Linked DNA regions of Lytechinus pictus. The protein of the gene in region 1 purifies or fractionates together with the protein of each later gene. This does not show direct contact. Links are inferred from orthologs where the notes say so. Each region holds a gene or a part of one and is shown in the gene's direction. Other genes may lie near its edges.

What was found. Proteins that work in one complex are often made in the same cells at the same time.
Region 2: the proteins of homologous-pairing protein 2 homolog (region 1) and meiotic nuclear division protein 1 homolog purify together in Homo sapiens (co-immunoprecipitation; 6 studies listed by BioGRID and IntAct, counting the BioPlex papers as one, with this or other methods). This does not show direct contact. The link is inferred for Lytechinus pictus from reciprocal best matches to the Homo sapiens genes PSMC3IP and MND1.

Annotation. Positions count from the first base shown.
Region 1 is NC_087257.1:29,332,373-29,339,738, forward strand, and holds the start of homologous-pairing protein 2 homolog, read left to right. Parts: upstream 1-4,308; 5' UTR 4,309-4,478; coding exon 4,479-4,503; intron 4,504-7,366. Other genes in the region: mucin-2-like, read left to right, coding at 1-46, 625-692, 1,177-1,308. UniProt on the Homo sapiens protein: Plays an important role in meiotic recombination. Stimulates DMC1-mediated strand exchange required for pairing homologous chromosomes during meiosis.
Region 2 is NC_087246.1:19,389,987-19,397,903, forward strand, and holds the start of meiotic nuclear division protein 1 homolog, read left to right. Parts: upstream 1-4,842; 5' UTR 4,843-4,913; coding exon 4,914-4,916; intron 4,917-7,917. UniProt on the Homo sapiens protein: Required for proper homologous chromosome pairing and efficient cross-over and intragenic recombination during meiosis.

The DNA of each region.
Region 1 (7,366 bases):
ATTGCCTCAGAAAGAGTTCAACTCAATAGACCAGTAGGATCAACATGTAAGTTACAAAGATAGGGCCCTTTAGAGGGATATTATTACATAAGGGACCCAGATACACAAATCTTAGTAATAACGTTGACTTGTGACTATGATTGCTTATAGAGGTCGAGGTTGAATAAATGGACATTTCATAAAAATAAAACCTCTTCTGGACAAAATCAAATTAATGACAGGGTGTGACTGTTGTGTTTGGGCTAAAAACCACTACTCAACTACACCCAAAACACCACTAATCCAAGCTGTAATCTACAACCATTCTCCAACTTATACACTACCATTTCTACACATAAAGGACTGCTAAATCACATCAACAACAACAACAAAAGGAAGGAAGGAGTATTTGACATAAAACTACTACTTTTTCAATACTACATCACACAGAACCCACATATATCTATGTACCAAACAGTTAAACCACTGATCAGTGGAATTCTCTGAACTTTAAACCACAAGGTCACATTAAAACCATATATTTCTGTATTCTTTGATTGCTGGAATGCAGAAATAAAACAAACTGAAAGATATTACATAATGGATTTACTATTGACACATGTTTTTTTTTCTCCATTAACACAGATAGCAGCATTGATGCACCACCTTCAAGAAAACCACCAAAGAAATACTCTGATATTTCAGGTTTGCCAGTAAGTAATAATCTCTAGAATTCAGTTATCGATTCATCGTAATTTCACAAGTATGTGACACTTCTCTTGAGATGCTTTTTGACTTTGCTAGGATTTACGAATATCACTACCTGAATTAGGGTCTATGTATACTTACTTTCCATAAAAAATACTTTTTCATAATGGTCACTATTTAAAATTTGATAAAAGTGACATTATTATTTGGGATGATTATTGATAATATTAGAAGTGAAATGATATTCATATATGGAAAGGGGGTCTGTTAAGTACGATATTTGTGAATTACTCTTCCTAACAAAGAAGAGGTATGATATTCAAAACACAATTAAATAAGTTACTCTTTTTGTGTACTATGAATAGGGGTCATTGTGAGTAGCAAATTCGACCATTAATTTTTTACTACATTGAAAATGCAATTAGAAAATTGTACTTTCAAAAAAATTGTCTCACATATGATGTGTTACTCTTGAATGTTCTTTTCCAGGCAAAATACACAGACCCGCGCACCAAGCTGAGGTATTCAAATACGGAAGAGTTTGCTCAGTTACGGATGCTGCCTCAAGATATTGTAAATGGACTCTTAGCTTTGAGAAGAGCAAATTTGGATGTCCAGTGATGGGGAAGTATCAGGAGCAAGAGTGGAAGAACAAGGAAGAGGATAACACAGAGAAAAATGAAGGAGGAGATGACAATCAATGAGAAAACAAGGAGGAGATGGATTTAATAGAACAATATGACAAATAAAAGAGGAAAAGCATAAGAAGGAGAAAGAGGAAGATGATGAGGAAGAGAAGGATAATATGTGGTCTGTGGAATAGTTGAAGAAGAGGAGTAGGAGAGGAGGAGAAATGGGAAGACAAAAGATCAGCTCATCTGAAATCCGTATTAGACTTCACATGATTTAAACTACCTTATTCAAGCTAATAGTCTGCCAAGGATCATTGTTCTTGTTTCGCTTTTCTGATTGTTTCAAATGGAATTATATACCCTTTCCATATATATATAGTGTTCACACGTTAGTTTAGTCGGAAATGGGGGTTCCCGTGCACCATCAGAGAACATTTTTTTTCACCAATTTTTTGTATTGCCTGAAATGACTAGTTAATTAATTTTGACGTTCCCTTTGGCTTTCGAAAAATAACAACCGGGCTGTCCAGAGAACGATTGTAATCAATTCCCACTATATGAATCATAGTAAGAAGCGTATTCATTTAAGATTTTCCCATTGTCTGTGTAAAAAAATATGAAAATAATTGGTTTTCATGAAAAATCCAAGATACTGTCGAAATTACCAATTTTGAACCCCATGGGACACGATTTGGCAAAGGGAACATCAAGATTAATTTACTATACTCTTCAGGTAATACGAAAAGTTCGTTAAAAAATGTTCTCCGATGGTGCACAGAACCCCCATTTCTTATTCAACTACATGGTGAAACAAATTACCCCACTAATGACAAACGATCTGCCTCAACTATCATTTTTGTTTTTGGAAAGAATAATGATATCACTATACTGTAGCTCTTTGCACTGAGCCAGACAACAATAATTCATCCTATAGCTGCTTTATTGACATTTTTTGCTTCATGTTATCCCAATTGACTTTAACCAGAAATTATTTCTGAGCTTTGTCATGGTGTATATATTCGAGCCTTAAGAACTAAGGGGAGGGGGGGGGGGGGAGAGGGGTGGATGTCCAGACACTCTTCTGTTTGGCTTTCATAAAATCAATTACTAAACAGCACAGATTATTGTTAAACTTTCTTCTTTGTGATGATGTCAAACATCCTCCCAATTTATTTATTTGTTATAAATTTGCAATAAAATATAAACTTTAAAAATGTTTTCAGGCTATTTCATTGAAGAGTATGTGAGGATATGAGAAAGCATTATTTTGTTCTCCATTGTGAGAAATAATAATCCACAGAATTAAGTATAGATAGTAACACTTTCCATCATAATTAGATAATCAAATTCTCTTGTTTTGCTAAGGGTTTATACATGGTTCTAGATGCTTGATTAGACTTTGCCATGGCATAACGATTGATTTTAAAAAGGGGAACTTTACAAGCCAAGTCCACCCCAACAATGTTAATGTGCAAAATTTTCATGACATAGCAATTATATGCAAATTGCAAAATAAGATTATTGATGACCTTAGCCATGCACTATTTTGTATTTTGTTATATCAAACATGCTGCAATTCCTCCATGATTATGTGTAATTTCCTTTGTTGTGATTCAATTTAGAGCACCCTTACAGTCAAATCTTAAAAAAAAAATGCAATATTTCATATTACATGTATAGAATACAAAAAGGTCACCTGTGATTAATTTTCATATCAACTTCTATTCTATTTGATGATTATAATTGTATGCAAGTTAATTGAAAAGTGGAAGGGGATAGAGAGAGGGAGAGAGCCAGGGAGAGGGGGGGGGGCATATCACTGCCATCGGAGAGTGGACAGCATTAGCGAGAAAAAACACGGAACAAGGGGTGTTTTCGGAGAAAGGCATGGAAAAAAAGGCCCCCTAAATCACAGTGGCCTAAAATGCGAGTGAGTAATTTGCAAATCTGGAACACTTGCTCATAAATCCCTGTTTAGAGTGTTCAAATCTGGGACATCTGCCCTCCAATCCTTGTTTAGGCAATTTTTTTTTTCAGTACTATTCTTGCAGATGCTGTCCACTCTTCAAAAGCAGTGACCCCCCACCCCTGGAGAGAGATAGTTGGAGTAGGGAAGAGGAAGGGAGAGGGAAGAATTAAAGAGGAAGAGAGAAAGGGAATTAAAGGAGGGGCTGGGGGGGGGGGCTAATTTGAGGAACTCCTCATTGGGTGGAGAGAGTTAAAAGAGAGAACGCATATATTTTAAGAACTTGCAATAAGTGGCAAGGATATATTGAGGATAAAAAAAACGGACGATTTCACTTTCCACATACCCCATGGGATCTCGCTGCACACAAGATAAATGGTTTTGGCCTGTCATACATGAATTCAGAATTTCATAAAAAACAAGGCTAAATAATATGAAAGTTCTGATGATCAAGAAGCACTTGCATAACTTGCCAGCTGTATTGGCAGAAGCTTACAATCAATACTGAGTGAGGGATGGGCCTGGATGGGGTCAATAGAATGTTAGGGTTTATTTTATAGACTACATTTCATGAATATTAATCACACTGAATTGTTGGGATATAAAGTAATTTGTGACCCATTGAGCAATGACATTCCATTTTTAAAGTGTTTACATAGTACAAATATATATGTACCTACATGTAGATAATTATATCCATTTAAACTTATAACGTTTCGGGGCCGGGTATATACCTCCAGTCTGAATAGAATTTCATACCATCCAAAAACAAAGTCGACCCTTCTTCCTTTTCTCCTTTGAAATGATCCTGCTTTCTTCCCCCATCCCATTTTCATTTTTATTTCTTTTTTTATAACATCTTAATTCTTCTTTCTCCTCGATCCGGGTCCTCGATCTACTTTTTCTTCTTCCTCCTCCTCTTCATCTTTTTCTTCTTTAAGTTCTTCTTCCTCTTCTTCTCCTCCTTTCTTGATCGCCATCACCATCATCCAGGCATCATCCCAGATTTGGCAAAATCATGTTACGATTACGCAATGCATCGCGCGCGCCCATGTAGCTAGGTCGATCTTGCGGGAAATTTGAAACTTTGAATTGTAATCTCTCGTCTGCATCGACGCGACTGCAACTGGAAATGTCTGAAGTTTTATCACGATCAATCCTTTCTTCAGAAATTCATCACATTTCAACTTAAAATGAGTAAAGGGAAGGATGCACAAGGTGAGAAATAATAAATCTACCCCACGATTGAAAGTGCACGCATTTGTTCAAACGCAGTCCCACATATGCAAAGTTATGTAGTTATCCACTTGAGTTAATAAGCGATGCCGGCAGATGGTTACTTTTTTGTTACTGAGTTGTACATGAATTTCACTCTGAATTACAAAAATAGTGCAATCGAAATCTATCATTATTCTTCTTTACAACGATGTGTCGTATTTTGTGATTATGTAAATATGGAATTGTCAGTTAGACAGTGAATACTTGTTCAGTTTGTTCATCAATTCCTACTAAAAAGTAAAATTAAAGTAAAAAAAGTCAGACTCGGAGATTGTTAAGTATTGTTATTGACATTGTTGCAAAATGAAAATATGCATTGATCAATTGTGATTTGATGATTGTTTCCTTACCATTTAACCAAATGAGATCATTTTCATTGATTTATGTTTGATGTACAAATTATTGTCTGGATGACAGTGAATGCTTTGTCTCTGCAGTTGCATGTTCATTTTATTTTTGGTGTCCTTTGCCATTTGGCTTAAGCTATTAAAATTTTGAAAAAAACTAAACTGTTAGATCTAAATGTTAAAAAGACATTCCATTAGGACCTAAATCTAGTCGATCTATCTGCATTTAAGATGAAACCTGACAGTGAGTGCGGTGATGAAGATGAAAACCTTGCATGTCCCAGTGCAGTGCAGAGTTTTCTTAAAGATTGCTTTCATAAATTTAATATATTCAACAAACAATGAAGCCAAAGCATGTTTAACAATAATATCTTTAAAGGACAAGTTCGCCCCAAACAAAAATTTGATTTGAATAAAAAGAGAAAAATCCAAAAAGCTTAACACTTAAAATTTCATCAAATTCTGATGTAAAAATTATAATAAGAAAGTTATGAGTTTCGCTTAATTTCACAAAACATTACACATCCTGGTCGGTATGCAAATGAGGAGACTGATGATGTCATACACTCACTATTTCTTTTGAATTTCATTATATGAAATATGAAATATTCTATTTTTTTCTCATTGCCAAGTGAATTAATGATTGATTCCTCCCTGAACATGTGGAATTAGCATTTTTTACTATATATGGTTCAGTCAAGTTGGTCCTTATTGTCAAATCTGTTAATTTGAAATATTGTATAATTCAAACAATAAAAAACAAAAGAAATAGTAAGTGAATGGCATCATCGTCTGTCTCATTTGCATGTCACTGAGTAGTGCATATCACTGTTATGTGAAAAATATGCAAAACTTTAAAATGACATAACTTTCTTATTTTACATCCGATTTTGATGAAATTTTCAGCGTTATGCTTCTTTGATTTTCTTTATTTATTCAAATCAAAATTTTTCCAGGGTGGACTTGTCCTTTAAAGATTAAACTTTTTAAATGACAGGGTTCTACATGTATAACTAATGTTGTAAATCGGATCAAAAATCAGATCGAAAATCGGATCGGCAGTTAAGCTTCTAAAATCGAAATCGAATCGAAAATCGAATCGGCGATGTTTAAAAACAAAGGAATACATCAAAATGTTGTTCGCGGTCGCGCGCATCTTCCTGACAAAGTCACAAAGACGAATGCATTGGAATGGAAGTCGCCAACATGCGCGATCGTTTGGAACATGTTTTGAAGCCAGGGGTTTTGAGGTGTTATTGCTTTAAAATAACCGAGTGATTTTTATTAGAAAGATAAACGAAAGACGCATCTTCCGAGCGAAGGCGCAAAGGAAAATAAAATGAAAATATTTCTCATAGATCACAGGTTAATGAACGATCGGCGGGACATCTTTTAGAAGTATTTTTAGGTGCTAGCGATTTAGAATTATTGGAATGATCTCTTACGACGCATCATCTTAAAGTCGCAAGTGCAATTAAAATGAAGTAGACGACGCAAGCACGCACGTTGATTTGAAATATGTTATTAAAATGTTTTGGGTAGCTAGCGTTTTCAAATCAATTTGAAGTTCACGGCGGGGTCCGCTATCACCACGAGGTTGAAGAGAAGATGTCTATCATCATAAAGGGGGTAAGAGAGTAGCGCAGTGAGCTCCGTCGGTAATACGACCTTTCAAAGTTCACGGCGGCATCCGCTATCACCACGAGATTGAAAATAAAATGTATATCATCATAAACGATGTAAGAGAGTAACGCAATAAGCTCCGTCAATAGTACAGTCTTTAAAAGTTTATGGCGGGGTCCGCTATCACCACGAGGTTGAAGAGAAGATTTATATCATTATAAAGGGGGTAAGAGAGTAGCGCAGTGAGCTCCGTCGGTAATACGACCTTTCAAAGTTCACGGCGGCATCCGCTATCACCACGAGGTTGAAAATAAAATGAATATCATCATAAACGATGTAAGAGAGCAACGCAATAAGCTCCGTCAATAGTACAGTCTTTAAAAATTAATGGCGGGGTCCGCTATCACCACGAGGTTGAAGAGAAGATTTATATCATTATAAAGGGGGTAAGAGAGTAGCGCAGTGAGCTCCGTCGGTAATACGACCTTTCAAAGTTCACGGCGGCATCCGCTATCACCACGAGATTGAAAATAAAATGTATATCATCATAAACGATGTAAGAGAGTAACGCAATAAGCTCCGTCAGTAGCACGATCTTTAAAAGTTCACGGCGGGGTCCGCTATCACCATGAGGTTGAAAATAAAATGAATATCATCATAAACGATGTAAGAGAGTAACGCAATAAGCTCCGTCAGTAGCACGATCTTTAAAAGTTCACGGCGGGGTCCGCTATCACCACGAGGTTGAAAATAAAATGTAAATCATCATAAACGATGTAAGAGAGTAACGCAATTAGCTCCGTCAATAGTACGACTTTTCAAAGTTCACGGCA
Region 2 (7,917 bases), on another chromosome or scaffold:
ATTGATCTATATATTTCCAGCATGCACACACAGAAAATCTTTGGTGGGGGAATTTTATTTCTGTGACATCAATTTCAAACATATTTTCAAGTGAATTTGCTGCATATGTTGAAATAAAAATTATCATTATGCTGTATATGAGTGAATCATTGCATTTTGGAGCTTAAAGAAAGTTTTACTATATTAGTATTATATTTTTGTTTTTATCTGCACATGCATATTTTCCAACACTTAAATTGATTTTATTTCATTTAAGATTGGACGACGGATACACTGGATGATAATATAGATGGTCCAGGATTATCTGGGAAGGAAACTACAGGTGTTGAACACAGAAAACCGTTTACAAGAAAACAACTGGAGTTTGTGAAAGGTAATTGTGTAAGAATTCACTTCAGTGGAAAAAATTGCAAAGCTTCATTAAATAAAACAGATTGTACTCCTGCAGTGTCATAGCTGGAAAAAAAATTGTGAGGAATGGTAAAAATACTGAAAAAGACCAAATGTCATCCCCATTTATAGGATTACACGTCCTTTCTAACACCCCCCCCCCTGGAAAAAAATCAATATGCTGGCGGGGGGGGGGGAGTGGACACTTTGGCCCCAGGTATGCATGTGGTATGGTATTTGTCATCATTTGGGCAACCTCCCATTAATATAACGGGTTATTTTCTGCTAATCTATGGTTAAACATGAATTTCTTTATCATATTGTACAAAATGTTTTGTTGATATTTGCTAATTGGTACTATTCAATTGAAGGGTAGTGTATTATGCAAATTTCTCGATATTTTAGAAAAATATATCAATTTCTCAAGAAAGCTTGCACGCACGAGCATTGATGTTTTGAACCCGTAGCTGACATACTGTCCTTTGCATTGTTTTCATCCCATATTCCTTATTACAGCTGCAAGAAATTAATCTTGCCGGGTACGCATTCACTTCACCTTGGTCGAGTGCAGCACAGTGGATAAATGTGTTGCTGAAGGAAAACACCATTGCTAGGATTCAAACCCACGACACTCTGTTGAAAGGTGAGAGTCAGAACCACTAGACCACGACGCACCCACAGTTAACAAGCTGATGTCATACTCCCACTTGTTCTTTTGTATTTTATAACAAGAAGTCATGTTTATTCATATTTTGACCTCCAAGAACTAAAAAGTGGAGTGAAGATTTATTTAATGTAAACACATGCATTGCTTGAAATCATTTTATGCTACGTGGGACATATCATACACACGTGTACGAAAATATGAAATTATTATGATTTCATTTTATAACATAAGCCTAACACATATTCCTGACGATCATGTGCACATTCCAGTAATTTTTCCCAAAATGTTGCTAAACCTTCAAATCAAAGACTTTGTTATCAGATTTTAACGAAATTGTCAACATTATGCTTTTCTGATTAATTCTCTTCCTACCTAAATCTTCCCTTTCCTCATGCTTTCTTTCTATGGACCCTTCATTCTCCTTATAACTATGTTATATGTAAAATGTAACCGGTCGTCCAACCCATTTGATTGAAGGGCTAGGTACTCTAGACTGAAAGTTATGTGATTTAAATTCAAAGAGTACATCAGACAAAAAAAAACACTGAAAATTTCATCAAAATTGAATGAGGATTAACAAAATTATGACGAATTAAAGTTGTTATTTTTTTATAAAACTGTTCTCTGCAAGTCCTCATGAATATACAAGATCCCAATTTATATATTTTTTTGTATTATATGAATTCAAATTTTGTCCAAGCTAGGTTGTAAAAAATTACGATTGACTACTGATATACTGTGTAAGACAAAAATTATATTATTTCTCACACATAGTTGAGTTATTCATCTGATTCAACACAACAAAAATAGACAAAAAATAAATAAGTGGGAATCTTGTATATTTGAACAATGGGAAATAGTTAAAAAATAGATGTGCTACTAAGAATTATTTTCTATATGATTTGCAAAATATTAAAAAAAGATGTCGCTATTTTTCTTGTTTTTTTTCTATTTTCATGATATATTCTTTATTATTCTATTATTCTATATATTCTATTTTTGATATAGATATTATTTATTCCTTTAAGTATCTTTAATGTATTTATGATAAACTTTTGGCATGTTTCTACAGAAAATCATTAAAAAAGGATTTATCTTTTCCGGACTCGAAAAACCTTATCGCCCTTAAACCAACCTGCTTCTACAAACCAAATAATCTGATTAACTCGCTTTTCGCGTTGCAAATACGGCGGAAATCGGAAAATTCAACCTATAACCTCACGTTGCATTGTACATATGTCCAAAATTGCATCTTCTTAGGAAAATATTCCAAATTTGTGGTAGATCTCACTCAATGTAGCAGGTATACGTGTTGCACGATCAGCTGGTGAGATCGAAAAGGCCAGAATGTGCAAATTTATGTACTGCGAAATTGCACTTTTGGGATTAAGCACTTCCGCCAGACACGATACGCTATTTTGCCGTGTGTTTTTACAGAAAAGTTAAACGGATTAACATGGCAATAACCACCTCTCAGAGATGGTTATGAGAAACCATATTTTGCTTGAAGCAGTTTATCAATAAACCGCATCGCGTCTGTTTCTACAAAATTCTACAGGAAAGTTTTCCGGGATTCTGGATACTTACGCGGGTAATACCTTTTAACGATTCTATGTAGAAACACGCCATTTGATATATCTTTTAGGTGAAAAGAAAATAGAGAAATATTAGGAGGTTCTATTTTTATGGGGGTACTATTTTCCCCCCTTTTGGGGATATTTATTTCCTCTAAGTTTGGTACTCTTTACCTTTAATCATTTGGCCATGTGAAGGCTATCACACATTTTGAGTTTAATCTTCGAAATTTGGTGTTCATCAGTTTGTTGTCCAAACTCTGTCTTACATTTAGATTTGTTTATAGGAAGATTAACATAATATCTATGTGGAGTGCAATCATTGACCTCTTGTAGAGTCGTGCAGTCACATGTATTCATAATGCTGGTGCTTTTATGCCATACATGTACTTGTCAATACTGGGTTCCACTCTTTTGTACTTGAACTTATTAGTAAAAAAAATATTTTATTAATGTCATTGAAGTAGCTGTGTGAAAGCAATTACACACAACAGATTTAAAATCAAGGTTATTGTATTACAAGTATCAGGTTTGTTTGCAGAACAGTGGTTTTGCCAAGTACTCAATCCACGTAAAAAGCCATCAGAGAGAACATGTTTATTCTTGGAAATGTTATTCATATGTTGTGTTTTTCAATTAAACTCTGTCTTGATACATGTTTATTTTAGATACCAAGATTGACAGAGTATAGATGTCAACGAGGAGCAAAGTCATATATATTCATAACTTATGTGCTTTAATTATAAAGTCTATACTTGTGAATGCTGTGTTCCATTTATGCTGTACTTAAACTTCTTATAGTAAAAACATTTGACGTTCTTGAAATAACTGTTTTCATCATTTTTTTCTTGTGCATACTTAATCCATTACCAAACCTACCATTAACCCAAGCTATATATGCTGTTCACCATTGGTCTACCATTCACTGTACTTTATTGGCCTACTATACATTGTACACCTTTGGTCTACTGTCTATCATTCAGTGTAAACCATTGGTCTACCATTCACAGTACACTTGTGGTCTATAATGTATGGCCAATGGTGTAAATTGAATGGTTGACCAATGGTATAGAGTGTATGGTATGACAATGGTGTACAGTGAACGGTAGGCCAATGGTGTACGGTAAATGGTAGGTCAACGGTGTATGGTAAGCCAATGGTGTACGGTGATTGGTAGGTCAATGGTGTATGGTGAATGGTAGGGCAATGGTGAACGGTGTATGGTGAATGGTAGGTGAATGGTGTACGATGAATGGTACGCGAATGGTGTACGGTGAATGGTAGGTGTACGGTGTATGGTGAATGGTAGGCGAATGGTTTATGGTGAATGGTACGCGAATGGTGTACGGTGAATGGTACGCGAATGGTGTACGGTGAATGGTAGGCGAATGGTGTATGGTGAATGGTACGTGAATGGTGTACGGTGAATGGTACGCGAATGGTGTACGGTGAATGGTAGGTCAACAGTGTATGGTGAATGGTGTAAGGTGAATGGTAGACCAATGGTGTCCAGTGAACGGTGGCTGAATGGTAAATGGTAGGCCAGTGAATGGTGGCTGAATGGTGGTCAATGGTAAACCTGTCTATAGTGGCCATGGTAGATCAATGGTGAATGGTGTTTGATCAATGGTATATGACTGGTAAATGGTGCTCATGAATATGGTAATAGTAACGTCCCAATTATTTAAATTAGTTTGAATGGTATACCATTGGGGCTTGAATGGTATACCATTGGTGTATGATGGGTGCTGTGCGAATGGTATTCCAATGGTATATCAATGGTGTTTCAATGGTGTATGGTGTATGGTATTTCAATGGTATACCATTCAATTTTTTTTATAAGGATATCAGAAAGTGTTTTACATAAACGATACGCAGATATTCTATTTTGATCGGGCACCATTCCAAAACAGGGGCCGCGGAACCGGGGGGGCTGGGGGGCTTCAGCCCCCCCCCCCCTCCCACTTTTTTCCAAAACCGTGTACATTAAAACGTAAAAATGACCATATGATTGTGATTTTTAGCATACTCAGCCTCCCCCCCCCCCCCCACTTTGAAAACCGTTCCGCGGCCCCTGCAAAATGCAAAATCTGCCAATTTATCATATAGAAGGGCAATCCCATAAAAATATGTACGTCCGACCCCCTATGGCCCTAGCTAGCTATGTGGGACATTCTACTATACTATACAATTGGCCTTCCATACTATTTGCAATCGCGCGAGACTCGAAAAAGAATACGGCCAAGCCCAAGCCAGGCAGAGCAACCGAGGCCCTTTACAAAATGGTGAGTATTTCACGTTTTATTAATAGCACAGCAAATGAAAAATACGGAATTATATTATTAAAGGCTTGAAAATTACAGAAGTGGGCTCAAAAGTATTAAAGAACGCTGCGAGAATTTTCGTTGCTTTGTCTCCGTCTCCAGATCGATCCAGCGCAGTCACCATCCAGATTCCAGTAACCCAGCCCCAGGGCCAGGCCACTCATTCAATCATCAATGAACAAGGTTATGATATAACCTTGTTCTCAGTTATATATCTCCATGACCATGTGTAGCAAAATAACGATGGCAATGTTTGGCTTATTTTCTCTTTTTCTTTGGGACAAATGCTTGATTTTTTACACTGACAGATTCCATTACACCTATTCGTCATACAACTTGGCCAAGTGAAGTTAAGCCTGGCTTAAGTAAATTTGATTCTTTAAATTATTTTTTTCTTAATTAAAAATAGAGATAAAAAAACAAAAATTTTCTTGCCATATTATTTTCCACCAATAGAGGGCGTACACAAAAATATGCCCAAAATTCAAGTTTTTTGTGCGCTCTAGTGAATACAAAAATTATTCCCAAGTTACTAATGAAAAATAAATTGCAACTGTATAGAAATTAGTAATTTTGGTCACAAAAGTGATATTTTAATCATTTTTTTAAGTGTGTGCTCCGACTCTGTACAGCATTGACATGCCATAGACAGTCTAACCCAGGGAGCTCCGGCCCGCTGTGCGGGCCGGAGCCCAGGGGCTTACCGTGTATTTTACCATACTCACGGGACTAGGGTGATTTATGGTCTAAATATTTCTCCAAATGAATTGTGAAAACAGAAATTATGCACTTACCACGATTATATGGATAAAGGTCTAACGAGTGGCAGTTTCCTGACATCTGGGCACAGACTGGAACCTCCAAAAACGAAAAGTTCTCTCCTTCTACCCCCGTCTCGATCGGCCATTTTTGTTACGCGGGCGGGAGCTCCCTGGGTTAGCCATAGTCCAACTTGCACTCACACTAATACGAGGTTAGTATATATACTAACCTCGTACAAGGGACCGTGTTTGACCCTGGATTTCGAAGTAGTCGGCAAACATCACTTCATTGCTGAAGTAATATTTGCCGAAACTCCTTCTCGCTACGCACCGGGGCTCTTTCCGATAAGTAGCAATAGTAATACATCAAAAAATTATACATATGATTATGAAGTAATTTCATTACAAAAAGAGCAAATTTTGCTTACCTCGGCCTAGCAAGTGACTTCGTTTGTCTCTTCTACGGAAATACAAGGAAGCCCGTTGGTGGCGCTAATAAATTTCACAACCTTGATTCAGCTCCTCGGTAATTTTATAACTGTGTCTAAATTCTTTGAATGCGCAATTCTTATGATTAATTTACTAATTATGGGCACCAATAAATGAAATACCTTCAAAAACATAATTCAAGATTGGCGATGATAACACTTTTTTGCAATTAATTTAAAATGATGACTGATAAAAAAAAAAAAAAAAAAAATACACATGCCTGGAACGAAACCAGCAGTACAAGCTTTAACGAACGTCAAATAATATGGCACTATACCAAAGTCTATACAATGAAAAGATTGGACACTTCACGGACTTCGCGTAATGCCTTGCGTACATTTGCGTGTAAAATAGTGTAGGTGCCTAGTCTTTCCCTTGTCGTGTCTTTGATATGAATATAAATCGCGCGCCCTCTTCAGGCGAATATTGATATCCATGCTGACCAATTTTTATCTCCATGAAATCTTCACTAAAGATCAAGAAAATATACATATTTTTTAAAAGAAACTTCAAGGAGAAGTCACGGAAGGATCTAAATGATTCGGTAAGTGTCATAGCAGAATGTGAAATACCAGATTATGCGTGATATTTTATGTGGGCAAAAGCCCAGTATATTTTGGATGTGTCGTGTGTGGCGTGCATATGACTGATATCCTTCGTACGCGAGACGATATGAACCCATGGGTGTCCAACCTGTAGATTCCCCACAGGCAGGGTGGTTGCAGTGAACAAGTGGGCTTCGCGGGTCGGAGCCCGGGGGGAGCGTTTCATGAAAGGACTTGTCGGACGTTTTATCCGACAAGTCCCATTTTATCCGACAGTTACCATAGTAACAGAACCTCTCAGCCAATCAACATCAGAGAAAGATGTCAGATCTGACAACTTGTCGGATGAAAATGTTGATGAAACACTCCCCAAGTCCAGGACTCGTCCGTGTAAATTAGGCAGAGCAATACTCTCCAAAATGGGGTAGAATGGGGTCGCAATAGCACTCCAAATAAAAGGGGAAAAAATAATTATGCACTTACCTCGATTATATGGATGAAGGTCTATCGTGACACAAACTGGACCCTCATTCCTCAAAAAAAGGGAAAAGTTCTGTCTCGTTCGTTCTCCTTTCAAAATTGAATTGAAAACAAAATGGCCGATCGGTACAGAGAACGAACGCGACATAACAGTCTAACTTTTCCTTTTTTTAGAGGGTCCAGTTTGTGCCTCGATGTCAGGATTCTGTGTCACGATAGACCTTTTTCCATTATAATCGATAAGTGCATGATTTATTTTTTCCCCTTTTATTTGGAGTGCTATTACTGCTATTGCTATTATTAAAGTAAGACTATACTCTGTAAAGTCTAAAGAGGACTGTACTCAACGGAAGAAGAAGACCCCATTCTTCCCCATTTTGGAGAGTATTGATCTGCCTAATATTACACGGACGAGTCCTGGGCTCCGACCTGCTTTGCGGCCGAGGGTCGGAGCTCTCTGGGTTCAGTAGTAGTAGATAGGCCTACCGCCGGTATCTGCAGCTTGTGCGCTGGCCTAGCCTTGCCCTTGAGGACTCCATGATCATATTGTGATTTTGATATTGTCATTTGATCACGAAGCCTTGAACCGCCTCCCATATATAGAAGAGACACATGTATGGATTTTCCTAGGAAATCCTTCTTTGACAATAGAAATCATGTAAATGTTTGTGATTTTACTTATCTATA